Linked DNA regions of Rhinolophus ferrumequinum. The protein of the gene in region 1 purifies or fractionates together with the protein of each later gene. This does not show direct contact. Links are inferred from orthologs where the notes say so. Each region holds a gene or a part of one and is shown on either strand. Other genes may lie near its edges. The genes, in order: CLUAP1, IFT46, IFT27 and IFT57.

Region 1 (7,988 bases):
TAATTGGCAATTTGTACATCTTAATCCCTTCCTCCTTTTCACCCATCCCCCCAAACCCGCTCCCATCTGGCAACCATCAAAATGTTCTCTGGGGGCTGGCCCGGTGGCTCAGGCGGTTGGTTAGAGCTCCATGCTCCTAACTCCGAAGGCTGCCGGTTCGGTTCCCACATGGGCCAGTAAGTGGGCTCTCAACCACAAGGTTGCCAGTTCAATTCCTCCACTCCCGCAAGGGATGGTGGGGAGCGCCCCCTGCAACTAAGATTGAACACGGCACCTTGAGCTGAGCTGCCACTGAGCTCCTGGACAGTTCAGTTAGTTGGAGCCCATCCTCTCAATCACAAGGTTGCCGGTTCAACTCCCGCAAGGGATGGTGGGCTGCGCCCCCTGCAACTAGCAACGGCAACTGGACCTGGAGCTTAGCTGCGCCCTCCACAACTAAGACTGAAAGGACAACAACTTGAAGCTGAATAACACCCCCCACAACTAAGACTGAAAGGACAACAACTTGAAGCTGAATAACACCCTCCACAACTAAGACTGAAAGGACAACAAGTTGACATGGGGAAGAAAAAAAAAAGTCCTGGAAGTACACACTGTTCCTCAATAAAGCCCTCCCCCAATTAAAAAAATTAATTAATTAAAAAAAATGTTCTCTGTATGAGTTTGTTTCTGTTGTTTTGTGTTTTTTTTTTTTAGATTCTATTGGCTATTAATTTAACTTCTATTTGATATCTCATTTCTCTCTTGGATATCTTTTTACCACTCAAAATGAGAAATACCTGGCTTTATGAAACATCATAAAGAAAAAAATACTTTTAAATGTTAACAGTGTTTATTTTTGGGGTGATGGTGGTAGAGTGAAGTCCATGTTCCTGAGTTATTTTTGAATTATTTGCATTTTATTTTTCGTGAGCTCGTAGGACCTCAATAACACAAATTTTACAGATTAGTTGCATTGTATTTAGAGAAATGTTAAAGAGAATGGTTAACACTAGAGCACTATTTATATTTATTGTAAAACAGATTAAGAAACAGTAATACTAACACTTGTAGGTGCCAGAGGTTGCAGTCACAAAGCTTTAAGCAGGACTTGGAAATGAATACAACAAACACTTTTTGAATTACCACAATGGGCCGAGATCTATATTCAGTGTGCTTCCAGCTATGTAATACCTGTCCTCACTCTTCTTGAAGGTGGACGTTCAAAATGTCCCAAGGACATTCACAAATAAGGTTAGGTTGGATTTCACCAGACAATAGAAAAGAAGGTATGAGCAGAAAAAAGAGCAACTACACAGAGGACGTGTAATTACTTTTGGGGAAATTTGAATAGAGTGATGGAAAATAAAGCAGTAGCCTTCCCACCACCGTCAGGCACTGCCGAGATACTTCCCACCAAACAGTAGTAGTCAAGTTCTGTTAGTTCTGCAGTATTATTGTCAAAATGGAGACATTTTAAGCAAGGTTCTTAACATAAATTGCACAACTGTACAGCATTCATTTAAGGTAAAAATGTTCATAAATCCGCTTCTTGTACACTTTTCCCAATACAACTCCATTCAACGTTCCTTAGCAGAGGGCTCTCTCTAAACAAGGGAGGAGAAACTTGTCTCTACAAGATAATCACCAAGAACCTTCAAATCCCAACAGGCATAATTCATAGCTACGGTGCTAGTAGATGCATTAATAAGGTGATGCCTGCCTAATTCTGTATACTTACATTGTAGATAAAGAGCAATTCATAACTGAAAACATAATTTTTAATGGTGAAATTTCAGGCACCAGCAATTCAATTAGAAAATTGGTCTTAAGGAGGCCCCTCAGATCACAGCAAACTGGCAATCACCTGCTACATCTATGCCCGTGGAGCCACTTTGCTGACCTGCTTCTGAATCAGAAAATGATAGCGTACAAAAGGCAAGAGATTTTGATTCACACAGTATTATGTCTCGATCGTTGGTTCCACCCAATTCTGGTTGTGTGACCTAAAGTCTACTTGACCTCTCTGTGCCTCAAAGTATTTCATCGAGGAGTCACCTACCTCAGCGTTAAAGGGAGGACTAAAAAAACAGTGAATGTAAAATGCCTGGTGTGTAACAGGCGTCCCCCCAAGTAGTAGCAACCAATTCTCTTATCCACATTCTCCCCGTTTTCCAACCTTCTAGCAAAGGGTTCCCTTCTCCTCGTTAGCTCCTTTAGAAAGGTCAGAGGCTTTGAAGGTTAGACAACCTGAAATCTAAAACTCCTGCGCCAGTTCTAACCACTTGTGACCCTTGACTGAATTACCTGACCTCTCTGTGCCCGTTTCCTCATCTCTAAACACAGAACCGTAGTTGTTCAGAGAAGTAAATAAAATGATGCGCATACACAGAACAGTTACCACCTGGCAGATCCGTAAACACTCATAAAATGTTATCCGCAATTGTTATTCACTAGCCCCCTCCCTTTTGTTGTTCGTTTCTCTGAGCTCCAAGTGAACCCAATTCAAAACGGTCTCTGCGTTTTCAAATATTATAGTGAAGAGCCTGTGTGACTATACAAATCAATTAAAATTAGATCAAATTAAAACTTCGGGTCCTCAGCCGCACTGGCCACAGCGAATGGCAGACAGAGAACTTCCCATCATCGCAGGAAAGTGCGGTAAGTTAGGGCCGAGGCGCTCCGCCTGGGGGGCGGCAGAGGGCCAGGGACGCCCTAGGCACAGAGGCCCGGGAAGGTGCTCGGGCGGCGCAAGCCTCGACGGGGCTCAGACGCGACCCGCAGGCCGAAGCCCCGAGTCTCGGGAGGGCCGCAGGTCATAGGGGGCAGGGCTGCCTTACTGCGGAGGTCACGGAAAGACATGACGCTCTGGTCCCCACCAGCACGGAATCCCCGCCGCTCGCCCGGAACCTCCGCCGCTCGGCCCTCGGTGCTCACGGGTCTCTATGGCAACGCACTGCGCCATCGACAGCGCGCAGCAGAGGCCAAACAAGGCGCGAGGTAAATGGGCTGCGCAGCGCGCGCACGCGCAGGAGAAGGGGCGGGCAGCAGGGGAAGTCCCGGGCTCGGGGGGAGGCGGGTGTGGGATTATGCCCCTGGGGGGGGCTTCCGACCGAGGGGCGTCCCGGTCCCCTCCACACACGTTGCAGACAGACTACTGGCTGACACGTTCTGAGCACCTACTATGTGCTCTACATAATACTTCCCATTTCCTCAACTCTTCTAGAAAGAATGTACGACGTCACGAAGTCGGATCGCCCACCAGGGTCCTGTGCCCAGCACGCTTCTCTTTGCAAACTGGCTGACCGCGTCCGCAGCCCCTGAGAAGCGACCGCGGGGTAAAACAGCAGGACACCCGCCTGTCCCCGGGGCAGTGAAGCTGACTGGTTCGGACCTGCGTACGCGCCTGCGGCTCAAGCTTCACGACGAGCCGGAAGTCAGCCCGGATCCTTGCGCGCCGGCGGTTGTCCTGGCAACCGTGGTCTCTTCCGGCGGGCGCGCGTTGGACTGTCTACGTAATTGAGGAAACAAGGCTCCGGAGTGAAGAAGGTGCCCAATATGTTGCCCGGTCAGCTAGGGGCTCACCTGGGAGCCCTCCGTGGGGTTGCCACGGTGGAGAACAGGCGACGCAGAAGGTCTGGAAAGGTGAAGTGATTTGAGCTCGGAAAGATGGACGAAGCGGAGAGCTGTACTCTACTCCTGTATTGGTGTTGGCGAAGTTAACAAACATACTCGTAAATGCACGGACCTTAAAGGCAGTCCCCAAATAGATCCACATAGTACGACAAACGTGACAGAGCACTTCAGTGGAGAAAGAACAGTCTTTCAATAAATGGTTTGAAAAAATTGGAAATCCTTATTCAAGTAAATGAATCTCCACCCTTACCTAAATATAAAACCTGAAACTAACTTTTCTAGCAGAAAACTTAGAGGAAAGTTTTGTGATTGAGTTAAGCAAGATCTCTTAGATACATCAAAAGATTTTTTTTGGGCAAATAGGACTTCATCAAAATTTAAAACTGCTAATCAAGATATTTTTAAGAACGTTTAAAGATAATCCAATCTAGAATAGTCACAAAACACAGCTGATAAAAAGGTATCCAGAATACATAAGAACTCTCAAAATTCAATAAAACAATCCAATTGATGGAAAGACAAAAAATTTAAACTAATACTTTACAAAAGACGATACATGGCCAATAATAAGCAAAGGAAAAGACCAAAATTATTAGTCATTAGGGAAATGGATATTAAGTCACAATTACCTATCACTAGGCAGTTATTAGAATGGCTAAAACAACAAAACAAAAACCCTCACAATGCCAAGAGCCTGAAAGAATGTGTACCAACTTGAACTTTCATACATTACTGGCTGCACCATTTTACATTCCCCCAGTAGTGAAGGAGGGTTCTAGTTTCTCTACATTCTCATTTATATATTCTCCATCCTCATGGGTGTGAAGTAGTATCACACTGTGGTTTACATTTGCATTTCCCTAATGACTGATGATGTGGCGCATCTTTTCCTGTGCTTGCTGACAGTTTGCGTATCTTCTCTGGAGAAATGTCTATTCAAGTTCTTTGCCCAATTTTTTTTTGTTTTGTTTTGTTTTATTGGGGAATATTGGGGAACAGTGTATTTCTCCAGGGCCCGTCAGCCCCAAGTCATTGCCCTTCAATCTAGTTGTGGAGGGCGCAGCTCAGCTCCAAGTCCAGTTGCCGTTTTCAATCTTTAGTTGCAGGGGGCGCAGCCCACCATCCCATGCAGGAATTGAACCGGCAGCCTTGTTCAGAGCTCGCGCTCTAACCAACTGACCCATCTGGCCGCCCCTTCGGCAGCTCAGTGGCAGCTTGTTGTCTTCAATCTAGCTGTGGAGGGCGCAGCTCACTGGCCCATTTGGGAATCGAACCGGCAACCCTGTTGTTCAGAGCTTGCACTCTAACCAACTGAGCCATCCGGCTGCGCTTTCTTTGCCCATTTATAACTTGGGTTGTCTTTTTGTTGTTGAGTTGTAAGAAGTCTTTATATATTCTGTGTATGACACTTGTCAGATACATGATTTGCAAATTTTTTCTCCCATTCTGTAGGCTCTTTTACTTCTTGATAGTGCCTTTTGTGGCACAAAAGTTTGAAATTTTTATGAAGTCCAATTTACTTTTTTGTTGCTTGTGGTTTTGTTGTCATATCTAATTGTCAAATCCAAGGTCACAAAGATTTACCCCTATGTTTTCTCATAAGAGTTTTATAGCTTTAGCTCTAACATTTAGGTCTCCGATGCATTTTGAGTTCATATTTATATATGGTGTGTGAGGTAGAGGTCCAACTTCATTCTTTTTCATGTGGCTCTCCAGTTGCCCCAGCACCATTTGTTAAAGAAATTCTTTCCCCCATTGAATAATCTTGGCATTCTCATTGAAAAGCAATTGACCATAGATATATATGGGTTTCTTTCTGATCTCTCCTATTCCATTGGTTTAGATGTCTGTCCTTATGTCTGTCCCACACTGTTTTGGTTACTGTAGCATTGTAGAAAGTTTGGAAATCAGGAAATGTGAATCTTCAAACTTTTTTCTTTAAGATTGTTTTTTGTTATTTTGGTTCCCTTTGTAAATCCACATGAATTTTATGATCAGCTTTCCCGTTTCTGCATAAAAGGCCATTGGGATTTTGAAAGTATCTGTAGCTCACTTTAGGGAGTACCGTTGCCTTAACAATATTAAGTCTTGAACCCATAAATAGGAATATTTTTCCATTTAGTTACGTCTTTATTTATTTAGGCAATGTTTTGCAGTTTTCAGTGTAGTTTTGCACCTCCTTAGTAAAATTTATTCCTATATTATTCTTTGTGTTCTTTGCCAGTATATATAAATACAATCAATTTTGGGTTTTTTTAAATGTTTTATTCACATATTAAAATTTGTGCATTCCAATAATTAAAATCATTTGAACATAAAAAATTGACACTCTGATGAAACTGCGTTTTACAGCCTGCAGGACACCTTGGACTAGCTTGGTTTTTCCTCTCGATTTCGCTGTTGCCCATCCAGCTTCTGCCTTCACCAACATGCAGGTTCTTTTCCTTCCCTGCCAGCCAGCCAGGCAGATGGGAGGGGCAGGTGTGGCCTGCATTGTCAGTAGTTCTGACGTGAGAAGGGGCAGCACAGTCATTTAAACTGGATCTAACCTCTTTGTATCCTACAAGTTAAGCAGCTAAAAGCGGGGAAATCAGAAGGCAATGCTTGTGGAATGTGCAGTGCGTACTGGCGGTGCGTGCCGTTACCATTCGCCTGCTCGTGTCTCCTGTTCAGCCTTTCCTTTCGAAGGCAGTGGGTTTTTCTTTTGTGTTTCCGTCTTCTTCAGTTTTGACTGTTGAATTTCTCAATCTCAGCCACATCGAGTTTGTCAGACATGGTTTCAGAGGAAGCAGAGCGAGGCACGCAAACAGTTGGAGTCCAATGTGCTCAGTGGCCCCTGCCAAGTGGCCAAAATACAACTAATTTTTGTGTTGATCTTATATCCTGCAATTTTGCTGAACTTTATTAGCTGTTTTATTAGCTCAAACAGTTTTGAGTGTGAATTAATTTTTTCTCTATATAAGATGTTATCTGTGAATAGAGAATTGGAAGCTTAACTTTTCAAGAAATTGTTTCCCAAAGTGGTGGCGCCGTTTTACATTTCACGTTCCCACCAGCAGTACATGAGCGCTCCAGTTCCTCCACATCCTTCCTCACACTTGGTACAAGTCACACAATACCCTGTCATTTACTTATGGAAAAATGGACAGAAAAGTTAAGTGACTTCCCCAGTCACCCAGAACCACCTTATAAGCATGCTCAAAGCACTGGCCCAGGTTTCACCAAGTCTGTACCCCTAAACCCTCATTTCCCACCCACAGATGAGAAAACTGAGATACCAAGAGGTCATCCCTGGAAGCGACTCTCCAGTCTGCAAGAGCTGAGTCTGTTTTGTGTGGCCTGTCCCAAAGCCAGAATGACCAGGCACCTCCCCTAGAGTTCTGCCCCCTTCCCTCGCCCTCCTCCCACCCTGCCCCTGCCCTGGGGCATCATCCTCCCCCAAACTCATGGGGTCCAGGAAGACTGGAAGTCTTCCCTGTGACATCACATTGCCTGTTGCCAAGGGAGACCTGCAGACCCACCCCGTAGGCAGGGGAGAGCAGAGCTCTGCTGCACAGGAGGCTGGGCCACTCCTCCCTCACCACTCTGGCCCTCCATGGAAGCCTTGGTCTGTGCGTTCTCTGAGCTGCGCATAAGAGAAGGTGCTAGGCTGTGGGGCAGTGTAGCAGGAGAAATGTCCTCTGTCCTCACCTGGGCCCAAAGCCACCAGGGTGGCCTCAGAGACATGCAAGCTTGGGAGCGAGGACCAGCACTGGTCTAGGACATATGACTTGGGCTGTGTGATTCTAGACACACTGTTCAATTTCTATACTAGCACCAGAATGCGTTTTCCAGGGTAGGGGGCAAAAAGGGGTGGCAGAAAGGGCCTGAAGTCCTGAAAGAAAGGCTTGGGTTTCTCAGATCTCCCTGTTGGCTGGGAGAGGAAGGAGTAATATGTTAGGTAAGGGGAGGCAGGAGGCAGGGGAGTTAGCCCATTTGACAGACAGGTAAGCTGAGGCTTGGCAGGCCAGGAGTGGAGCCCAACACATGAGCATGTGACTGCATTCTCCCTTCGTGGCTGCTGTGGCCCATCGGCCACCACCGTCTTGCTTTGCCCTCCACAGATGCAGTGAGCTGGGCCCGAGGACCCCCCAGTAACCCCCGTACGCCACCCAACATCTACGAGGGAGGGCTGGGGTCCCAGCAGCTGCAGTGCCCCAGTGCCCAGGAAAGCAAGCCCAAGAACTTCAGGCTACGGCACCTCCGGGGCCTGGCGCTCTACCTGCCGGGCCACATTCAGCCCGCTGGCCAGTGCGAGAGCCACTGGTTGGGCCGGCTTATGGCTGGGGGCTGCCTCCCACAACCCACAGGCTGGCCCCTGGATCTACCACAGG
Region 2 (7,227 bases), on another chromosome or scaffold:
ATATACACATATATGTATATACATATGTGTATGTGTGTGTGTGTGTATATATATACACACATACATATATATCCTGACAGTTGCGCTGTTGTGGCTGCCTTGATGTCCTGAATCGATTCAAAACATTTACCTTTCATGGTCATTTTGACTTTGGGGAAGAGCCAGAAGTCGCACGGTGCCAGATCCAGTGGATAAGGACACACCATAATGTTTTTATTTGACAGAAATTGCCATACCAGAAGCTATGTGTGACATGGAGCCCTTCTGTTGTGATAAAAAAATACGGTGAATGCTGCTGCCGAGTGCCATCCAACAGAAAGCCAGGGATCTTCAATACAGGAAGTGGTGTGTGACTTACTAACAGTGTGTGACAAGTTTCAACTTGTTCGGTGCACTCAGTAGGGTGTGAGCTATAGGTGAGAGGTTTTTTTGTGGGGGTTTTTTTAATTGGGGAAGGGGAACAGTACTTTATTGGGGAACAGTGTGTATTTCCAGGACTTTTTATTGGGGAACAGTAGTGTGTTTTTCCCAGGACTCATCAGCTCCATCCAAGTCAAGTTGTTGTCCTTTCAATCTTAGTTGTGGAGAGCACAGCTCAGCTCCAGGTCCAGTCGCCGTTGTTAGTTGCAGGGGGCACAGCCCACCATCCCTAGTGGGAGTTGAACCGTCAACCTTGTGGTTGAGAGGACGTACTCCACCCAACTGAGCCATCTGGGAACTCAGCTCAAGGTGCTGTGATCAATCTTAGTTACAGGGGGTGCAGCCCACCATCCCTTGCAGCAGTCGAACCAGCAACCTTGTGGTTGACAGCCTGTGCTCCAACCACCTGAACCATCGGGCCACCTGGGAGCTCAGCGGGAGCTCAGCGGCATCCCGTTGACTTCATTCTAGTTGCGGAGGGCGCAGCTCGCTGGCCCATGTGGGAATCGAACTGGGAGCCCTGTTGCCCAGAGGCTCGCGCTCTAACCAACTGAGCCACCCGTCCGCCCTGAGAAGGTGTGTTTTAAAGTGTGCCATAAATCATCCTCCATCATGATAATGCGCTGTGTCACACATCGCTTCTGGTACATGGCAATTTCTGTCAAATAAAAACATTACGGTGTGTCCTCATCCACCTTATTCACTGGATCTGGCACGGTGCAACTTCTGATTCTTCCCCACAGTCAAAATGATTCAGGACATAGAGGCAGCCACGATGACAGTACAACTAAAGACACTCACGAAAGAGGACTTCCAGAACTGCTTCAGAAAGTGGCAAGAATGATGGGATAAGTGTGTTCAAAGCAAGGGGGAGTATTTTAAGGGGGATTAATGATAATGTGTCTTTTACTGTAATACAATTTTTTAAATTTAAACATTCACCATATTGTTTGATCACATCTCGTAATTTTATCTATTCATTTGTCACCTGTCTCCAATGATTACAAGCATCAGATGGCAGAATCAACATCTCTTTTAATACTGTACACCTAGTGACAAGCATAAGGCTGACACACAATATACATTAAGAAAAATGTTTGTTAAATAAATGATGGTGTCAAATCCTCTTCAATTATTCCACTGAGATTTTTATTGGGATTGCAGATTAAAGAAAGGTTACTGAAGCATTTTCAAAGTGGAGCAAAACAGTTTTGATAAGTTAAAAACAAAACAAAACAAAACATGAACCCCTGTCAGATTGTGAGCAGAACAGTATCATAAAGTAAATGGTATTAGGAAACACTGATCAGGTTGGAAGAATATCCCAGAATCTGGGAGGCTGTGTTTTCATCCCCCTTAACTAGTTAGGAAACAGAAACAATAGCAAGTGAAGTAACTTCACTCTGAAAGCCAACATTTGCTATGACAAAATAGAAACTTCTTGGAGACAATCATGAATCCATCCTGCCCTTTGTTCTGAGAACCATTTTTTCTGCTTTCCTCTTCATTCCTCTCTTACCTCTGTGTCTTGGGGTTGGAGTATAAACACTTGCAACCTCTTCAGAGTCGTTAATCTCTAGACGCTCATCATATGTCTGGTTTTCAACAATCTTGGTCTAAGCAAAAGGAGACACGATTACATAGGCTCATATCACCAGACATTAAACACTATGCGGAGAGGTGCGATTCCAAACCAGCATTCATCCTGTTCCTCACCCAAGACATTAGTTTCACATGAAAACTTCACCCCCATTCAAACTTTCCTTAAGGCTTCTTGGCCCAAGATCAAGCAGTGAGATCATCCTGCTGCAATCCATATTTAGGAACTGCTGACAAGCTAGCTGAGGAACCAGAGAATCATGGAGGGAAACAACAGCCAACTTCTACACCAGCTCCCCAAAGCTGTTAGGCACACACAGGCACACGGGCTAAACAGTATTCGTTTATAGATAGCGACTTAGGTTCCTTCGGTTTTCCCAAGGCTGTCGCTGTTTCTCAGGGGAGGCTGTAGAGGCTCTAGAATGAGTTCTGTCTCTGGGGTTACCTCGTTTACCGGAACAGAGGGTCAACTCCAGCCTCTCAGTCCCATCCAATAATCCCGAAAACATCACCCCCATCTCCACCCCCCACCCAACTTGCAGGTCGGGTCCCCCTTAAGTTCTTGGGGAGTAAGAGAAAAGCAGGGTGGTTGGTGGAGACGTGAACGAAGGGGAGAAGGAACAGTTGTCATGGAGATGAGAAGAGATTGGGGGATTGGAAGGAGAGAATGGGAGTCCGCTTAAATTCCTCTTGGGAGGGAGAAAAGGAGTTCTCTTCCGGAGAGGGTGAGTACCAATTACCTGTAGCCCATCTGAATCCGTCTCCTCTAAATTGAAAGAACCCCAGCCTGGGGCTGAGGTCTCACTCCAATGTCAGGCCAAGCCACTCTAGGGATTCTACCTGGAGCAACCGTCCAGTTGTCAGGCGCTAGGTAAAAATAAATAAACAAACAAATTTTAAAAATCGCGAGACTTGCTTTCACTCTCGTGAGACTTTCTCCACTCGCGCCTTCAGTCCCTGTGAGGGAAGGCTCCAAGGAGGATCAAGAGCGTCTCCGGGGTGGGGGTTGGAGGAGCCTCTCTGGGCGATCAGGTCGCCTGTTTGTCTATGGTTTCAGTAAAGGCGTCTGTGGCGGCATCCAGCGGCCACGGGTGGCAAAGCTGGCTGATGAATTTGGGTTTATAAAGTTAACCCTTCAATCTGGAAATAATCATGTGCATTTTACCCCGTAAGACAATTACCATTGGTCATGCAATTCCTCCTCTATCAGTCTAATCAGAATTTAGACAAAATCTCTAAGGAATAGTCCAACAACACTTTGTACGTCCTTTTTAGCATTTGTATTACATTATAGTCCTTCCTCTTTACGGTGTCCCATTGCATAGGACATTTCTTATACTAACAAATTATTCGTTATTTATCTGAGATTACAATTTATCCTGGTGTCTGTATTTTTATTTGCTAAAGAAGACTGAGCTTCTTTAGGGCAGCGTCTGTGTCTAACTAATTTTTAAGATCTTCATAGTGTCAGTGCATTGCATAAATTAGGTGTTTTTAAAATGCTCATTGGGTGGATGAATGAGTGAACAAAGATGTAAGGAACAAATATTTCAAACTACAGACATAGTTAATTTGGGGAGTAACAAAGAGAGAAACAAAGAGAATAATATTGGAAATTTGACCCTGAAAACCAGCCAGAGGAAAGCAGTAAAGTGGCTTTTAAAAAGAAAATGAGAAACACCTCTTCTGAGACTCTTCTGGTTAAAAATGCAACTGCAGGGTGGCCGCATGGCTCAGTTGGTTAGAGTACAAGCTTTGAACCACACGGTTGCCAGTTCAATTCCCACATGGGCCAGTGAGCTGCGCCCTCCTCAACTAGATTGAAGGACAACGACTTGGAGCTGATGGGCCCTGGAGAAACACACTGTTCCCCAATAAAAATTTATCTAAAAAGAATGGAACTGCAAAACATTTTTTAAAATTTTTTGTCATCTGTTATTGCTAATAATAATGGATATGTATTGTTGAGCATTTACTATGTAGGACCACTTAGATTATATAATCTTACTTATTAATATATTACCTAACTTCACAACCTTATGAGATAGATGTTACTGTCAATTTACAGATTAGGTAATTGAGGTTTTGGAGAATTAAAGCAACTTGCCTAGAGTCACTCAGCTACGGTAGTAAGTGCCGACAATGGGAGTCAAACACAGGTCAGTCTAATTCCCAAGGCTCTGCTTTTAACCATTATGACTTTCTGCCTTTAAGGCACTCCTCACAAAGCATGCTTGCTGGGGTACTCTTCTTATGCAGTTTAATTCAACTGTCGTATTTCTAAAGAATCAGCATCAGTTGGTCTTTGTGAGCTTTGGTTGTTCCACACTGAATGCCCCTGGAAGCTGCCACAATAAAGCAATAATTCCAGACATGATTTTTACTTTTTTTAAATTAAGAATTTGTTCATCTTTTTAAAACTGCATGTCCTTTTTATAATAAAAATAAACAGTACAGTTTGACATAGATCCTCCCAGACATGCAAGTTCTAAAATATGGGGGGTTTGTAATGATTCTACTAGAAAGCCACTGGAGATAGAATTGAAATGAGTGGGAATTCTATAGTGCAGTGCTTAAGAGTATAGATTCTAAAGTTGAGCAGCTTTTGTTCCAATCCTAGAGTTACTACTTTCTAGCCGTGAGAGGTGTGGTAGAATAGTTTTCCTCTTTGTACTTTGGTTTCCCTGTAAAATAAAGATATTAATGGTTCCTATGTCAGAGAATTTTTGTGAGGATTAAATCAGATAATCTGTGTGAAGAGTTTAGGAATACACAGTATTCCTAAATACACTGTACATTGTAAGTGCTCAATAAACATTAAGGAACATACCGAAGATGTACCATGTTTTCTGAAAAATAAGACCTATTCCGAAAATAAGCCCCAGTTAAGATCGTCAGCCAGATGGACGCATTTAGTACATTTTGACGATGTTCCAAAAGATGACATGACTGTATTTGAATAAATGTAGATTGTTGTACATGAAAAAAATAAGACATCTCCTGAAAATATGCCCTAATGCATCTTTTGGAGCAAAAGTTAATGTAAGTCCGGTCTTATTTTTGGGGAAATACGGTATAAGACCTGGTCTTATACCGGAACATGGCATATATAGAGAGAGGCAGGTGTGTCATAATGAGAAAAAAATGGGTTTGAATCCTGGCTCTATCCCTTACAGACTGTGAGTCTGGGCAAGTGCTTGACTTCTTTGGTCCTCAGTGTCCTTATCTGGATTGTTGTAAAGGATTACAGCTAACATGTGTAAAGTACTTGACACAAAATAAGCACTCAATAAAAATTTGCTGTTTATCCATTATTGCAGCAGTGTTTGAGTGTTGTAGAGTTGAGCCAGTGATACAGGACGAAATGATATAGGGGAGAACTGCTGAATCACATATGCCCTAAGTCCGACACTTGACATGGGAGAACTATCAACAGAATCAGAAGGCTAGATTTGACTCTTGCTTCCATTATATACTGGCCTAGAACTCTGGGTAAATTTCTTAAACTTGACATCAATTTTCTTCACCTACAAAATGAACATGAACGCAGTAACTGCCCTGATTCCCACACACTTTTTAAAAAAAGGTATAATTTACAAGTCATATAAATTAACCCTTTTAAAGTGTACAATTCAGTGGTTTTTAGTATATTCACAAAGTTGTGTGACCACCACCTCTGTATAATCCCAGAATATTTTCATCACTCCAAAAGTCTCACTCCCCATTCTTCCCCTCTCCCACCTCCTTATAGCCCTACATTCTATCTCTATGGATTTGCCTATTCTGGACATTTCATATAACTTGAATCATATAAGATATGATCTTTTGTGACTGGCTTCTGTCACTTAACATATTTCCAAGGTTCATACTTGTTGTATAATGTATCAGTACTTTATTCCTTTTTTCAACTGAGTAATATTCCGTTGTGTAGATACACCACATTCTGTTATCCATTCATTTATTATGGACATTTCAGTTGTTTCTGCTTATTGGCTCTTATGAATAATGCATCTATGAATATTAGTGTACACTTTTTTGTGGGGACATGCTTTCGATTTTCTTGGGTATATACCAAGGAGTGGAATTGCATCATATGGTAACTAGGTTTAAATTTTTGAGGAACTACCAAACTATTTCCCAAGTAGCTGCACTATTTTACATTCCCACTAGCAGTGTATGAGGGTTCTAATTTCTCCACATTCTTATTATACCAACATTATTATTACAGGCATCCTAGTGCAGGTGAAGTGGTATCTCATTGTGGTTTTGATTTGCATTTCCCTAAGGACTAAGGATGTTTGAACATCTTTTATGTGCTTATTGGCCATTTGTATATCCTCTGGAGAAATGTCTGTTTCACCCATTTTAAAATTGGATTATTTGTCTTTATTATTAAGTTGTAAGAGTTCTTTATTCTGGATATTAGGTCCTTATGCACACCCGGTTATTTCGTATGTTAAGTGATGTAGTGGCTGTGAGAGTTTTATAAACTACGAGAGGTGTCAAAAATTAAACAAGGGCGCTGACAATAAGTGAAGGGACAAAAATACGAGGTTCTATCGCTTGGGTGAGCCCGATCCCTTCTTGGCCAAGTCGCGTTCTAGCTTTGCACGCACAATTTCCCCACCCCATGGCGCCCCGCCCTCCGCCCTTTGACCTGCGCAGTTTCCGGTTGAGACGTGGCTCAGGGCCGCCATCTTGGCGAGAGGCAAAGCGGCTGCGGCTCCTGTCAGGGGGGCAGCAGGTCCAGAGCCGCCGGTGCTTTCCTTTCCCTGACCTCAGCCCTAGCCCCAGTGGAGCCAGAGCGCGGGTGCGCCCCACCACCGCCCTCACCATGGTAAGATCCGAGCCGGGCCGCATTCCCGGATCTGGCCTCGCGTGTCCGCGCTCTCTGCGGGTCGTCTTGGTGTTATGGCCAGAGGAGTCCCTGCTTGAGGGCCTGGAGCACCTGGAGCACGGCGCTTCCGCCCGGCGCTACCCTCGGGGCTCGGGGAGCTGTCTTGTGCCCGACCTCTCGGGAGATCGGGGGACCTGACTCCTGTATCCTCTGTCGTAGCGCCCACACCCTTTCCTTCCCCACCCCCAACTGGGCACCTTCTGTGCTGAGATCCGGGCCCTGGAATGGGCTGGGGTTTTTGCTCTACTAGAAGCTCGTAGTGATAGCGCTTGGACCCCACTCTGCGATCCTCCGCGCAAAAGTCCAGCCTG
Region 3 (7,217 bases), on another chromosome or scaffold:
CAAATAGCGTCCTTCCTGCACAGCCTCCGAAGGTCATCTCTCCCTCCTTTGTTTTTACTTGTGTGGTCATGTGGGTCAGTGCCATTTCATTGAGACCTGATGTCAGAGCAACCTTCTGGTGAGGCTCTATCATCCCCACTGACATCGAGAGGCAGTAAATCATAGGACGTAGGGCATAGATTCCAGCTCCATCACTTATGCGCTGTGTAACCTTGGGTCAGTAATCTCTCTGGGCCTCAGTTGTCCCATCTGCAAAATGGGGATAACAGCACCTATCTCATAGAATTGTTATGAGGATTTAAAGAGTTAATATGTACAGTGTCTCATGTATATTAAGTAATAGTTAAGTGATTTTTTAAGTAAATAAAATATAGATAAACGTCAAGTGTTGTTTTCTTTCCTGATCTGAGCCAAAACAATCAGCAGGTATTTCTCTGGTATCTGGCACACAAAGGGCATTCGATTCATGTTTGCTGCATTGTAAGTTACTATGCACATCTCAGCGCTTCCTTGAGTCCAGGTGCTGGCCTGATTCATGCTTGCATTCGCACCGCACCATGCATGGTGACTCGCACATAGTAGGTGCTCCATAAATATCTGTCGAATGAATAAGCACTTGAATTGAATATTGGGTCCTTCAATGACTAGGTACGTGAGAGAAAAAGGGCAGATTAACTCAATTTAAACAGCAGACCTGTGAGGGGAAAGGACAAATAAAACCAGAGCAGGTGTGTGAAGTTGGGTGGTGTGGAGAACAAGAATTGGGTGCGTGGTGCTGGTGGGGCTGATTCACTGTCTTCTAGTCCCTGGAAACTTCCAAGAGGAAATAGTCTTGAGGCTGCAGATGGAGAGCTAGGTTGGAGTTCAGGAATCACTAACTCAGGCAGTGGCTGAAATCAGGTGAAACAGTACCTGAGGGAATGGGTGTAAAGAAGGGCAAAGAGTCTAGAATCGAGGCTCGAGGACAGTTTAGTTTGGGGCTAAGAACAAAGCACTGGAAATCAGATCACCTGGGTCTAGATCCCAGCTCGGCCACATCCAGCTGTGTGACCCAAGGCAAGTGTCTTAACCTCTCTGGGCTCAGTTGCTCCAGCTGTGAATGATGATGACAATAATACTGACCCCACAGAGTTATTGTGTGGATTCAGTGCGATGACCTGTGGTGAGGGTCTGCCACAGTGCCAGTACATGGAGGGTACTCAGCACACTTAGCTCCATGATAGAAGCTGAATTACAAAAGAAATAAGAGAAAGTAGAGTTGGAGGGAGAAACGCATTAAAAAATGTATCTAACTTCAGAAAACAAAAACAATCCCAACTTATGTATGAAGAAATTGAGGCTCAGAGATGTGCTTTGTCCAAGATGACACAGCCAATGAGAGGAACAGCCAGAATTCTTTTTGTTACACAATACGGCCTCCTCCGGCGTTCTGGGAACTAGAGACCCCTTAACTTCTTTTGCTCCAGTCTGATTTGAGTTACTGTTGTCAGTCATCTTTCTGTGTGACCCTTTTATTTCCAAATTAGAAAAGTCATTAAAAGTATCATCTCTTTCAGTCAGAATCTCTTTACCCTCTTAATAATTTCTCACTGCTTCTTTCCTGAGCTGGTCAAGGAACCCCGGAAAGGTCACAGGTTCCAAGAGTAACACAGGTTAAGAGTTTTGGAATTGGGCAGATCCAGGGGTTGAAATCCTGCCTATGACCTTCCTTCACTAGGGCGTGACCTTGGGCGAGACTTCACTTCTCAGTGCCCCAGCTGAAACGGGAACAATACAGCACCTACCGGTGTGCTCACCTACCACCGGGAGAGGATGAAATGAAATACATGTGCCTGGCATGCAGGAAGGACTCAGTACACATGTGTTCTGTGGTTCCAGGTCTACAATCCAGGCAAATGTTTTTCTAAATGTGCAGACTGATACAAAGAGCACCACACATGTGAATGCCACATATTCATTCACTCTACAAATATTTATTGAGGACTTAGTAGGTTCCAGATATTGTTCCGGGTGCTTGGGATCCATCAGTCAACAAAACAAAGATTCCTGCCTTTGGGGGATTCGATATTTCTGTCCTCCTGAGCGTAGGGAAGCGCAGTAACTTTGGGTTTTAAAGGCAATACACTTGCACCTTTTTTGCAAACTCTGGTCAATTTTACATTATTGTCTGTCCCTGTCATCAGAGGGGCAGGGTCAGGGAAAAAATCCCATAAGACTAGCAAAGCCACGGGTGCCTAATTTTGGGGTACAGCACATGGTTTGGTTGAAGCACTCAGGGTGTGGTTAGCCTGGTTTTTAAAGAGTCTGTACCTCCTGAGTACAGCTCAGAAAGGTGAAGATGGTCTTACAGTCTGACAGGGGGCGGGAGAAATCAGCTGGAGCTACCAGTGTAGCCTGGAAGATACTTCTTCCACAACTAATGGAATTTACTGTTAGTAATTGCATTAACTCGCCTTTGGAAGAGAGAAAGGGAAAGAGGGTAGACAATTTACGTGAACAAAAGCTCTTGGTAACTTATGAGGTCTCTGGACTCTGGAGACTGTAAATTTCACACTCACCTGCCAGGATGCATTTGGCTGCCAGCTTCACCATAGTAACCAGCCACTTCCACGGACCAGACGGGAAGAGCGGCGGCTAGAGGCGTTGGTGGGGCTGCTTGGGAAGGGAAGTGGGGAGGATGACGCTCAAGGTGCCCGTGGCCGCGGTGGGAGCAGGGACAGATGGGGCCTGGACCCTCTGGGCTAGACAGGGGGCGGCTATCCGGCGCGAGGGATGCGGCGGAGGCGCAGGGGAGCGCCAGATGGGGTCTGGCTCAAGGCCTCAGAAGGCAGCCTGGAAAGGGCCAGCGAGGCGACGCAGCACCCGTTCGCGGCCCACTCCCTCGGCCCAGCCCCTGCCTGTGGGGATCCGGAAGAGTGACCCTACAACCCCGGGGCCCCTAGCACCGCGTCTGACCCTCTGGCCAAACAACCGCCTGCCCCGCCTCCTCCGTCCTCGCTGACCTTCGATTGGCTGCCACCAAAAGTTCCCACCCTGAAGGCTCTCCGAGACCAGTGGGAGGAGGGGGCGGAGCTCACAGGCTTTCCTTGCAAGACAATTCGTAGTGTTATTTGCTTTTCAAACTCATCCCCCTTGGCTAATGGTTGTAGGAGACATCAATCATTTCCACTCCTCCCCCCCTCCCCACACCCCTCTACCCCGCACTGCCGGAAAGTTCTAGGAAAAGAAGCTCCAACATCTTTTAGCCAGAAGCGGTGCTAAAAGAAGCTTTCTGATTGGCCAGAAGCTGGCTTGGACCATCTGTGGGAGGAATGCGTGTCCCCTGCCCTCCTGGAGGTGAGTTCGTCCGCGAGGGGGCGGGTCGGGAGCGCGGGAGACTGGAGTGGCGCCTGCGCAGTAGATGAGGCCGCAGTGGACGAAGCGGAGTTTAGGACGGGTTTGAGGTGGTGGAGGTTCTTGATGCTTCCCCAATTCCCAGGTTCCGGGGAGTGCGGCCGTGAGGTGCATCAAAAAATTCAGCCGTTGCCCCGCATTCCGCAGGCAAATCTCATTTTAAAAGACCGAAGATATTACGCGCTTTAAAATCTAAAATTTTAAAGCGTTTAAAGGGATGTCTGTCAACAAAGGGAGAACAAGTGAACTTGGAGGCGAGTGAGCCGATTGGACCCAGGCAGTTGAAGTCATCCTTTCCTCTGAGCCCATTTCCTCTCCTGTAAAATGGAGAGCGTATGTATATCACATATTGAATGAAAGCGAGAATCCAGAATGTTGAGGCCACACAAAGAGGGCCCCCTCTTGCTCTGCGGTCAGCAAACCAGACAAATCCCTGCCATCTTCCTGACCCGGGCAAGACATCTCACCCCTGCGCCTCTTGACTCAGCTTTAAAGATGGGCCAGTGGAACCCCCTTCATGGGGTTGTCCTGAGGTTTAAATGAGAAAGTATGTAAGCGCCTGGGACGTAGTAGGTACTCAACACTCAACAGCTGCATGGATGAAGGAGAAGAAATTCATCAGGACAGATTTGGTCTATCATCACCGTCATAGGTTGGTCAGATGCACCCCTGTTCTCACCCCTGCCTCACCCCCATCCCTCCACCTCCCACCCCTCACTCCCCCAACCCCGCCAACCCTTGGCTGATGCTGAAAGGGACGAGAAGCCCCTCAGCAAAGATACTGCATTCAGGATTTACCATCACGTGCCTTTCGGTTACCTGGAACGTTCTGCTGTCTCAGCTGCTCTCTGTCTCAGTGTAGCTACTAGCCTTGTGCAGGGGAACGAACACACACACCCTTGACAAATGACTGTGAAAGTTTCAGTTCTGAATCCAGAGTAAAACAATCCAAGTTGCCTGGAATTTTGTCTTCTTGAGAATCATTCCTGGTATTCTGGTTACGACCTGTCTCTCCTTCATCCCCCTTCCCTACTTTGCTTCTTTGGAGACCTCATGCGTGTCTGTCTCAGAGACCCCAGGCCTGGGTGAGTCAGAACGCCGCTGCCTGGTCTTTCTGCCTCCCCCTCCAGGCTGTCCTGTTCACTGTGACGCCCGTCATCCCCTAAAGGACCCCTCGAGTGAGTCAACCTTTCGAGGCAGCTCCATGGGGCTGAGGCACTGATATAGATCTGGGGGCAGCCTCTGAAGCCTCATTTCCTCCTGCGAGGGCGTAATGGCACCTCCCACACGGGGCTGCACTCCTCTGCACCACATCCACTCTCCCTATTGTTGCTGCTACTCAGTGTGCCTGTGGTCAGCATTCTGGATCTTTCTAGAGAGGTGGTAATCCCTTTATACTGAATTCTGCTCCCCTCATCCCAAGGGCCTTCTGTACGTTCTTGGTGACTAAAGGACAGCCGCATGACACAGTCACAGGTTTAAGGTGGTCCGAGAGTTTTAGAGCCAGGAGGGGCCTTGAAAGATTCTAATCTAACCCCTCTCTGAGAGTTGGCGTGTGTTGAACGTATGTGGAATGCTGGCCTCGTTCTAAGTGCTTTCAAGGATTAATTAATACTCATATTTGATATTCACAATAGCCCCACATGAGGCTTGTATTATTCCCATTTGATAGATAGGGATACCAAGGCCCAAAGGAGGTTAAGTCAAATGCCCAAGGTCACATAGCTAGTGAATGGCAGAACTGAGGATTGAACACAAATAGTCTATCACCCCGCTGGCCCCGAAAGGGACCTCTGCTGCCTCTAACTCCTCACTTCCTCCCCTCCTCGAGAGTAAATATTGATTGAGTTCCTTGCAGTAATATCGCATGCTGATTGAACATTATATGCCAGGCACGTGCTAAGCACTTCACATCCTCTCTGTTGTTGGATGCAGTGACCCTGGGAAGTGCAAACTCTCATTATCTCAATGTAACAGGCGAGGAAACTGAGGTCCAGAGAGAGCCCAAGGTCAGGCAACAAGTCAGCTAGAACCAAAACCAGCCTCAGGTCACCTGTTCTTGGGACCGGTGTTTTTTTCCATTACCTGAAGTCACCTTTCTGGTTTCATTAATAAGCTTTCTTGAGTGCCTGCCTTGGACGAGGCACTGTGCTGGGGCCACCAGAGCGAAGGTGACAAGTCCCAAGCAACTCTAGCAGATCCTGGCCATGTAAGAATGCCAGCCCTGACTTTTCTAGAAGAGCCCAAAATCTAGACTTTTGTGTGAAATCCCTTGACTCAAATTTTGGCAATGAACTTAAATTGAAAACACTGTAGCCACAGTAGAACATCTCTGTGGACTGGTTCACCCCGAGGGCTGCCTATCTGTGACCTCAATTCAAGAAGGGAAGACAAACATATGAACGAATCCTTGCGGCATGAGTGGATACAGGACTCCAAGGAGCCCTTCTAGCCCTGGATAGGTGGAGGGGCATTGGGAAGGCTCTTCTGGAAGGAGAGCCCTGAAGAATGGGTAGGAATTTACGAGATGGACACAGAGGAAAGGACCTCCTGAGTAGATGGAATCGCACGTGTAGAGGTGTTCCACCAGTGGTGGCCGTGCATCAAGCATTTGGAGACAGCAGGTGACACTCTTTGCTCAGGTGTTCAGTGGGAGATTGGTAAGAGGTAGGTCTGACCCACGCGCCTGCTTAGAGCCACGTAGACAGCAAAACGACAAAAGAGTGAAGCAAGGCCTGGCGGGGAAACTTCTTTGAGGAATTCATTCAACAACTGTTTTGTTGAGCACCATGGGCAGAGCCATCATAGGCGCTGGTTTCCAGTGGGGAGACAGTCAGCAGTGGCGACCTATGACTGGTGAACATTGAGCAGGACCTTTCCTTGTTGTATGAAGACTAAATACCCTAGCAGTGGTCCCTGGACCAATGGCATCAGTGACTTGTTAGAAATACACGTCCCTAGGCCCTTCCCCACCAAACAACTGAACATTGGGGGGAGGGCCCACTCTCTGTGTTTTCATAAACCTTTCTAGCAATTCTGATGCAGGCTCATGTTTGAGAACTACTGCCCTTAGGTCATGCTAGGTCCCACCTTTATCCCTGTTCTCTGGCCGTTTTAGTGTTTCTCAATCTCCTCAAGATCCTTTCTACCTCAGGGCCTTTGCACTTACTGTTCTTAACATGGCTGCATGATACTTGCCCTCATGACCTTCTGATTTTTGTTCAAATTTAAAGAATCACCCCCAATCTGTCAGTCTCAATCTCCTTGTCTTACTTTTCTTTCTTCATAGCACTCACTACTATGTGATATACAGATATCATATTCTGTATTTATTTGTATAGTATTCTGTCTTCCTCCCTTAGAAGGTGAGTGTCATGAGATTTGGTCTCTTTTGTCCTCCCAGCATCTAAGACAATGCCCAGCATGGCAAGACACTCAGTAAATATTTTTGAATGAATGAATGAATCTTGTAGAATTTTCCCTTCTGTCCATTCATTCGTTCAGCAAGCACGGATTCTTGTGTAGGTAACGGGCTTATTGCTGGAAGGGGTGCCATGGCTAATCAGATCGCGGCAACCTGATGTCTGGGGTCTCCACCTGGCCTCCCCCCCGCCCCCCCCGTTGCACAGCCAGCTCTAGACCCATACAACCTCCAGACCTGCAGGCTCCATGGAGGAGGAGGAGTTAACAGCTGCTCCCCAAAGCCGGGGACTGGGCTGTTTGGGCTAATTACGAAGTGAGGGCTTTCAGTGGGAAGAAAGCAGAGCGGCAGCTGCTGCTAAGTTGTTCTCAGGGACTGTTCCGTCATCCTGGGGTCGAATGCT
Region 4 (7,524 bases), on another chromosome or scaffold:
ATAGTTATTCACAGAGAATTTATCTAAAAGGCTAGCATTCATGTTGTCGAATTAACAATATTAAAATTCATAACTTGAGAATATGCAGAAAGTAGAGAGTTGTTTACACTTACAAATGATCGAAGCTCAGATAATATATTAGATATTGTTGCATTAGGGTCATCATATTCCTGAGGCTGCTCAAAGGGGCGTCCTGCTTTGCTAATCAACCAAGCAGCAAGAGTGCAAAACATGTAGAACTGTTCACCAGGGTTGGTAGGCAGTGCAAAATAGTGTCTGTTTCAAAACAAGAGGGGAGGGTGGAAATATTGAGAAGTCTATAGTAATTAAAGGAGCTAAGTCCAAAATTGCCCCAATTTTTTTTTCAAATGGCTTTAAAATCAAAAGACATTGATAACTCATTCTTTGAAATTTCTAATAATCCACAGCACTCCCACTAACGTTTTTAATCAACAGGACTAGGACAATAACTACTGCATAAAAAATATTAGATCAAAGACCTTACACCCCAAAAATGCAGGGCATGTTAAAAAACTGAGCACATAGAACTTTTGCCAAAATAATTTGTGTATCAGGAATAATATGAGAGTACTTCCTGAAAATGTAATTTGGAATCAAGAAAATCTTAGAGTTTAAAAAAAAGACCTTAATGATTATTCATTATGCATTTCTACATTTTTTACATCACTGGTATCTTTACTTACTGTTGTATCAGTTAACAGTTGTTCTCATCTTGGCTGCATATTTGAATCAACTGAGGAGCTCGTCAAACCACTGCAACTGGACCGAACAGTTCTTCCCTCATGAATTAAATCAGAACTTCTGAGAGTGAAGTCCCAGTACAGGTATGTTTTAAAAGCTTCCTAGATGGTTCTAAGGTGTAGCCAGGATTAAGAACCACTGAGTATCACATCCCCAGTCTAACAAACATTTGTTGACTGTTGTAAAATCCCTAGCCTACTACAAATAGTCCTATGAGGATCAATATGATATATACTTAAATATGTTAGGAATAAAATTTGCTAGCCACAGCATTCAAGTCAGTTTGACTAAAGATCTTAGTTTGCTTTTTACATGTAGCTATTATGTTCATAATTGTATTTATAGCTATTATAGGTATTTTCCATAAGAATCAGCAGTGAACTCATGTTTCCCAATTTCTTTCCTGCAGGATCAATGTAAGTGTCCTAGAACATAACAGAAAGCTGGAAAGAAAACAAGGCCATGAAGTCCTTACAGGTAGGTTTACAACCCTTTCGAAGCACCTGCTGGTAACAACTCATTTTTTTCTTGTTGGCTGATAAATCCAAGATAGAGGAATGGATACTGACACATTCTGTAGACTTAGGAAAATGACTCTCAAACTTGAGCATGCATCAGAATCACCTGGAAGACTTGTTAAAACAGATTTCTAAGCCCCACCGCTAGAATTCCCGACACAGTAGACCTGGGACAGGGCCTGTGAGCATTTCAAATAAGTTCCGAGGTGATGCTCGTGCTGCGGGCCTGATGACCACACTTTATGAACCATTAAATTAAGATACCTCCACACAAATTCATTATTCAAAGTATCCTGCTGAACTCCGGAGGAAATAGTACAGAGGTTATATCAATAGAAACTTAGGGCCATTTTCTTTTAGTTTGAAAAATATATTTGGGAAAAATTCACTTTTATTAACAGAAAATACTGCTTGTTTATATTATTCTGATCAGTTAATTTAAGTAATAACTCCCAAGCCTACAATTTCCATCTTGGATTAAGCTTACATATCTTATAACTCAAGTAACTGGAAGAGAGCAGGGAATGAGATCAAAACTGTCAAGAGAAATTATTTGAGCCTAGCTATTATTTGAGCCATTCAGAGAAAGAAATAAAGATTCATAATCTAAAGTAATAAACAAATCTAAGTATGTATTAATGTAAAGGAAAAACTATAAAACTTATTTACCTCTCCGTGCTAAGCTACATTGATTGGAAGAGAAAGTGCTAGCTGTCCATTATCCTCAGCAACTAATGACCTGGGCTTCCGGATATGATGAACTTTTCCCCAACAGAGGGGCAGAACTTTAGGCTCGATGAGAAAGAGACGGCTCCTACAGTTGTCATTTCATTTGTCTTTTCCACTTTTCCACTTCTTTAAACCATAGCAATTAGTCAACAAGTTTGCCAACTGCATAAAAAGTGCTAAGCAAGGTCCTAGGTATCCATGGTTACCACCTGTAGGGACAGGTTCTTGCAAAGGAAAACAAAAACTAGAGAGATCTAAAATGATCATGGCATTTGTCTTTGGAGATGAGATTATGGGTGATTTTAGTATTTTTCTACACATTTTCTTGTGTTTTTCTGAGTTCCCTGCAAGAGGAACTTTTATTACTTTTATACTCAGAAAAAACAGTTTGTGATTTGTGGAGGTGTGTGCTTTAAAGACTAGGCAAGCTGTCTTCCAGTCCTTTCTGTCGTTCCAAAACTTTCCTCTTTACTAAAATACCAAATATAAACTCCGTGAGCTCCACGGCCCTCCGTTGCCAAGTTTGGATGAAGTACCCTTTCCAGACAAGGCGGTGAAGACAAGTGCTGGCTAACCCGCGCTGGGCGTTCCCCAGAAGGCCGGAGGAAGGCCTCTTCCCAGGGCCCAGCAGGCACCCATGCGCGGGGACCACGGCACCCACCTGGACGGGGGCTTCAGGTTGTTCTTCCGGAGGAGGTCCTCCTCATAGCGGAGTAGCTTCAGCTTCTCCACCAGGTCCTCCATCACCACGAACATGTGGTAGGCCGCGCCGGGCCCCCGCTCCACGACCACCTCCCCCGCCCCTTCGCCGCGGGACCGGGACGCCCCATCCTCCAAACCCGACGGCGTGACCACTGCCGCAGCGGCCGCCATCGCAAAACAAACAGAAAGAGCCCAGCGTGGGCTCCGGCCCACGGATCTCAGCGGCCTGCGCAGTTGCAGCCAGGACCGCCGCGACCCGTTACCAGGCGACCGACAGGCAGACCGTCACCAGGGAAACTAGACTCCTCCTCCTTCCCTGAGCTCTTCTAAATTCCCTCCAACCAAAGCAAGCTTTCTGGGCTACGTCATGTAGGGTCTGCCCCTTCCCCTGCCTCTTGGAAGACAGTGGCGGGGAGGTAGCCACGCCCTCGTGGGGGGGCGTGGCTCCCAGGGCCCCACGTCCGGCCACGCCTCCTACCGCTGCAGTTTAAAGGCGGAGGCAGGGCCGTGGGTGTTTTTGCTGCGCTTTCCAGCTGGCCCTTGGCTTGCTAGAGGTGCGTTGGACCTGGTGGTTACCAAGGGCAGCTGAGCGGGCATCCGAATGAGCTGCTAGCAGTTTAAAAGATTAAAGAAAAAGGAAGACGAGCAGTATTGAAGGCTATACTAGCCCCCTGATTTTTTTCTTCTTCTCACAATTGAAAGTTTTCACAGTTGTAAAGGTAGTCGATATTCTGAGGTTTCCTTTTACCTCAGCAACCTCCCAAAGGGAAGTTTCTTTCCTTCCCCCCCCCCCTTAAAGTTAGTCTTTCTCTCATTAGTGAATGCTGTGTGTGATCTAACACTATGTTATAAGACTGTCAGTATCATTCCCTGCTATCAGCGCTAGGAAAGGGGTTGTTGCTTGGGAGGGAGTGGGGAAAAAGAATGGCAGAGGATGAGCAAAAAGGAGGCAGTGGGAAGGATTTGTTTTACCTCGGAAACAAGCATTCTAAACTCACATCCTTCTCCTAATCTGTTTCAAGCCCATTACATGCAGTATACAGTGTTGGGGTTCCTTGTTAAAATCAATAAAATAAAGGAAATAATCTTGAAAGGAATTTATTTTCCTGTGCTATAGCTCTAAGTGTGGTTAAAGACAGTATTACTACTGCATTGTACTCTGCAGCTATTAAAGGAAAAGCAAGAAAAGGGGGCATAACTGACCAAAGCCTTACCGTTCTCAAAGAAGTCTTGTGTGTCAAGAAGCTTTCCTAACAGCTATTTAAAAAATGAGGTAAGTGGTAGGTGCGTGGAGGTTTCCTGGGAGAAGAAAACTTGTGGCAAGAGGTTGAACATGTATTTGTGTTTATACTGTGTTTTTTGAGGGATCTCTGATCTCTTATATCTGCTACTAGAGAATAGAGAAGTCACATTTTTTGACATAACCAAAGTGTGAAGTTTATCTGTAATAACTTTTTGTTTTTGTTAGAAAAATGGGCAGAAGAGCAGTTTTCATTTTAATATCAGTCTAAACTTTCTGATACTCAGAAAGGTATCAAAGTGAAAAATCAGGCAAATACCTTTGTGTTTACCAAAAAAGTAAATACATCAAATAACTGATTTACGGTATGTAGAAAACAATCCAAAGGGGAAGGCCACTGAGAATTGCTTTTTAAGTAAATAACATTGTCTGCCTACTATAGTCATTTAACCAGCTGCTTTTAATAAAGGTGAGTGGGAAAATCAGGTATGGCTCTACCCCACAGCCAAATGAGTCTTTTTCTTTGCCTCCTTGGAACAGTGTTTCTTCCCCATACATCCCCACCCTAACCACCACATGTATGGATGAGGGATATTGTGGTATGCTTGTATAACTTGCAGAGTACAAGATAAATGAGTAGCTTTTTAGGATTGAAAAATATTAAAGCTCAGATACATGCTTTGGGGTGCTTAAACAACAAGCAACCTGTGGCTTTTTACACGGTTTTCAAAAAGGTTTCAGACTTTCAGGTAAATTGATCACACCCAAGGAGATAGACATTCACTAGAGGCGTGCTGCTGACATAAGACGTTCTGACATTTTCAGAAAGTATATATAGCACTCAGGATGAAATAGTCAAACATTGTTTTTTGGCTGATGAGAAATCCTCCAACAACACATGCACTTTGTGGGGAGAAAAACTCTTCTCCCAGAACCTAGCCATTTTCTTCCCAGGCGCAATAGTGGTGCAGTCTGTCTTGAGGCAGTATGAAGAATTATCTTCTCTCTTAAGTGTTGTGAGAAAGAAAAAACACTAAAATATAAAGTATCCCCCTGTAACTATGGCACAGAAAGAATGAAAGAAACAAAGGAAAAGCCAACTATTCAACATTGTTTCCCCCACAGAAAAAAGATGGTAAATAACACTGAAATGTCATTTCATTGTTATAAGACCCCAGGGATTATTTTTGCTGAACCTTTGTTTACCCACAATAGTTGACAACGCTTCAAGGGGTCTTTTCCTTAATGGAAGTAGTTTCTTCACGTGTGAGAATGCACACTCAAATCCTCTTTGAGCTGTCTCAGCCACTTGGAAGCTTTGGAGTACATTGTGTTAGTATTTTTGCAGGACTAGCTCATTCATTGACTAAAGAGTTAGACGAGAGCTTGAAGAGAATGGGATGTTGAGGCTTGTTCATACTTCCTTTCAAGAATCTTAAGAGAGATTTATCCCTGGCTTTATGTGTTGACCACAATTATAGTTGGGCTTCTGACTTTGACTTTTATCTCTCTCAAACTATCTGTGAAATAATTGGAAGTGCTTTTTAAGGCCCTTAAGATCTTTCTGTGACTGGGCTAATCTCTGAAAACTGAACGGCATACCAATCAAAGGTGATTTAAACTAAATGGATTTCGTTGAAAGATGTTGAGCAAGGCTGGGGGTGAAAAGAAGACAGGTTCAAAGATGGAGGCTGTCTTTCCAGCTGCATCTCCAAATAAAAAAGTCCTCCAAGAAGACTGGACAGGCTTAAAAAACAAAACTGCTTTTTGTTATAAATGGCTTGGTATCACCCATGAGATATGTTAAAAACTTAGAAAACCATTAATTGAATAGAACTTCCTTAACCTAATAGAAAGTATCTGCCCAAAATCTTGAAAGAAAAAAAAATCATATTTAAATGTGAAGCATTAGAAGCAATGCCTTTTAAAGCCATGAGCAAGGTGAAGACATCCAATCTGCAAAACTATACTAGAGATCAGAGCCAGTATACTGAGACAAAAAAATTAGGAGTAAGTTTTGCAGAAGAAAAAAACTGTTGCAGGTGATAAGATTAAGTAAAAAAATTCAAGAGAATCTATAGACAAGCTCTTAAGGCAGCTCAGTAATTGTCATATAAGAGATCCAAACTAAAGAAAAGTTACTTACTGGTTGGAAGAATAGTTAAAATGGCCATATCACCCAAAGCAATACACAGATTTAATGCAATCCCCTTCTAAATCCCAATGGCATTTTTTTTCAAGAAATAGAACAAAAATCATCAGATTTGTATGGAATCACAAAAAGACTCCCAATAGCCGAAGCAATCCTAAAGAAAAAAAAAGTGATAGATATTAGGAAAGAGACTCAACAGAACTTAGTAATGGGCACCATGAAATGTTCTCTGGGGCACTGATGGCACCACAAAGATGTTCCACGTTGGGGTGAGAAAGCTGGCCTTTATCCCCTGTCTCACTGGGTCACTGGCTGGTGATTAGCTCAGGCATCTCTGAGTGAGGTGGCTTCTGTTAGCCAAGGGTAGTTTTCTGGAGATGAATGCAGCTGTGAACACTGAGCGGCCAGTACTCCTACTGTTTACCCGAAAATAAGACCTAGATGGACAATCAGCTCTAATGCGTCTTTTGGAGCAAAAATTAATATAAGACCCCAGTCTATATTAATAAAAGACCCAGTTATTTTAATATAAGACTGGGTCTATATAATAATTATATAATATAATATAATACCAGGTCTTATATTAATTTTTGCTCCAAAAGATGCATTAGAGTTGATTGTCTGGCTAAGTCTTATTTTCGGGGAAACACGGGTAGCAACTTGGGAATGGGTGCATCAACCTGGGTAGGCACTGGCAGCTTTTGCTGCAATATTTAACATTAAAGTGCAACACTTTGAGTTTCTTTATGTGAGATATGTTCTGAAGTAATGCAGATGGTCCAGTTGGCAATGTCTGGAGAACTTTTTGTTTGTTACAACTATGAATGGGTGCTACTGGTGTCTAGTGGGTAGAGGCCAGGGATGCTGTTAAACATCCTATAATACACAGAACAGCCCCTAACAACAAAAAATTATCCCACCAAAAATGTCAATAGTACTAAAGCCAAGAAACTTTCACCTACAAGAACACATCTAAAACTCTCCACCATGGCACAGAGGTCTTGCAATGACCTATTACCTTTATGTATCCTGGAGACTAATCCATTGACATTATATGGGTCACAAATATCTTTCTTCATTGTTTCTAGAATCCTCTTTTGTATCTAAATTCTTAATTTTGATGAGTTTCTCTTTTCTTTAAAGTTTGTTCTGTATTTCCTTCAAGAAACCCTTCTCTACATTGAGGTTCAAGATACTCTATTTGTTTCCTTCCAAGTATTTCACATTTCTGTCAATACATCTGAAATTTATCTACTGAAATTCAGAGATGTGATTTGGTTTTCATGTGGATAACCCATAGCTTAAACAGCATTTATTGAATAGTTCTTTATATATTTTGGATATCAGCCCTTAATTAGAGGTATTGTTTGCAAATGTCTTCTCCCATTCAGTTGGTTGCCTCTTTGTCCTGCTAATGGTTC

What was found.
Region 2: the proteins of CLUAP1 (region 1) and IFT46 purify together in Homo sapiens (affinity purification with mass spectrometry; 3 studies listed by BioGRID and IntAct, with this or other methods). This does not show direct contact. The link is inferred for Rhinolophus ferrumequinum from reciprocal best matches to the Homo sapiens genes CLUAP1 and IFT46.
Region 3: the proteins of CLUAP1 (region 1) and IFT27 purify together in Homo sapiens (affinity purification with mass spectrometry; 3 studies listed by BioGRID and IntAct, with this or other methods). This does not show direct contact. The link is inferred for Rhinolophus ferrumequinum from reciprocal best matches to the Homo sapiens genes CLUAP1 and IFT27.
Region 4: the proteins of CLUAP1 (region 1) and IFT57 purify together in Homo sapiens (affinity purification with mass spectrometry; 4 studies listed by BioGRID and IntAct, counting the BioPlex papers as one, with this or other methods). This does not show direct contact. The link is inferred for Rhinolophus ferrumequinum from reciprocal best matches to the Homo sapiens genes CLUAP1 and IFT57.

Annotation. Positions count from the first base shown.
Region 1 is NW_022680357.1:4,893,709-4,901,696, reverse strand, and holds the start of CLUAP1 (clusterin-associated protein 1), read right to left. Parts: upstream 3,012-7,988; 5' UTR 2,842-3,011; coding exon 2,820-2,841; intron 1-2,819. Other genes in the region: C15H16orf90 (uncharacterized protein C16orf90 homolog), read left to right, coding at 7,211-7,256, 7,719-7,988. UniProt on the Homo sapiens protein: Required for cilia biogenesis. Appears to function within the multiple intraflagellar transport complex B (IFT-B). Key regulator of hedgehog signaling.
Region 2 is NC_046294.1:87,904,183-87,911,409, forward strand, and holds the start of IFT46 (intraflagellar transport protein 46 homolog), read right to left. Parts: upstream 3,009-7,227; 5' UTR 2,760-3,008; intron 2,037-2,759; 5' UTR 1,940-2,036; intron 1-1,939. Other genes in the region: ARCN1 (coatomer subunit delta), read left to right, coding at 6,854-6,856. UniProt on the Homo sapiens protein: Forms part of a complex involved in intraflagellar transport (IFT), the bi-directional movement of particles required for the assembly, maintenance and functioning of primary cilia. May play a role in chondrocyte maturation and skeletogenesis.
Region 3 is NC_046293.1:9,967,488-9,974,704, reverse strand, and holds the start of IFT27 (intraflagellar transport protein 27 homolog), read right to left. Parts: upstream 3,002-7,217; 5' UTR 2,593-3,001; coding exon 2,559-2,592; intron 1-2,558. UniProt on the Homo sapiens protein: Small GTPase-like component of the intraflagellar transport (IFT) complex B that promotes the exit of the BBSome complex from cilia via its interaction with ARL6. Not involved in entry of the BBSome complex into cilium. Prevents aggregation of GTP-free ARL6.
Region 4 is NC_046285.1:35,882,799-35,890,322, forward strand, and holds the start of IFT57 (intraflagellar transport protein 57 homolog), read right to left. Parts: upstream 3,001-7,524; 5' UTR 2,883-3,000; coding exon 2,671-2,882; intron 277-2,670; coding exon 114-276; intron 1-113. UniProt on the Homo sapiens protein: Required for the formation of cilia. Plays an indirect role in sonic hedgehog signaling, cilia being required for all activity of the hedgehog pathway.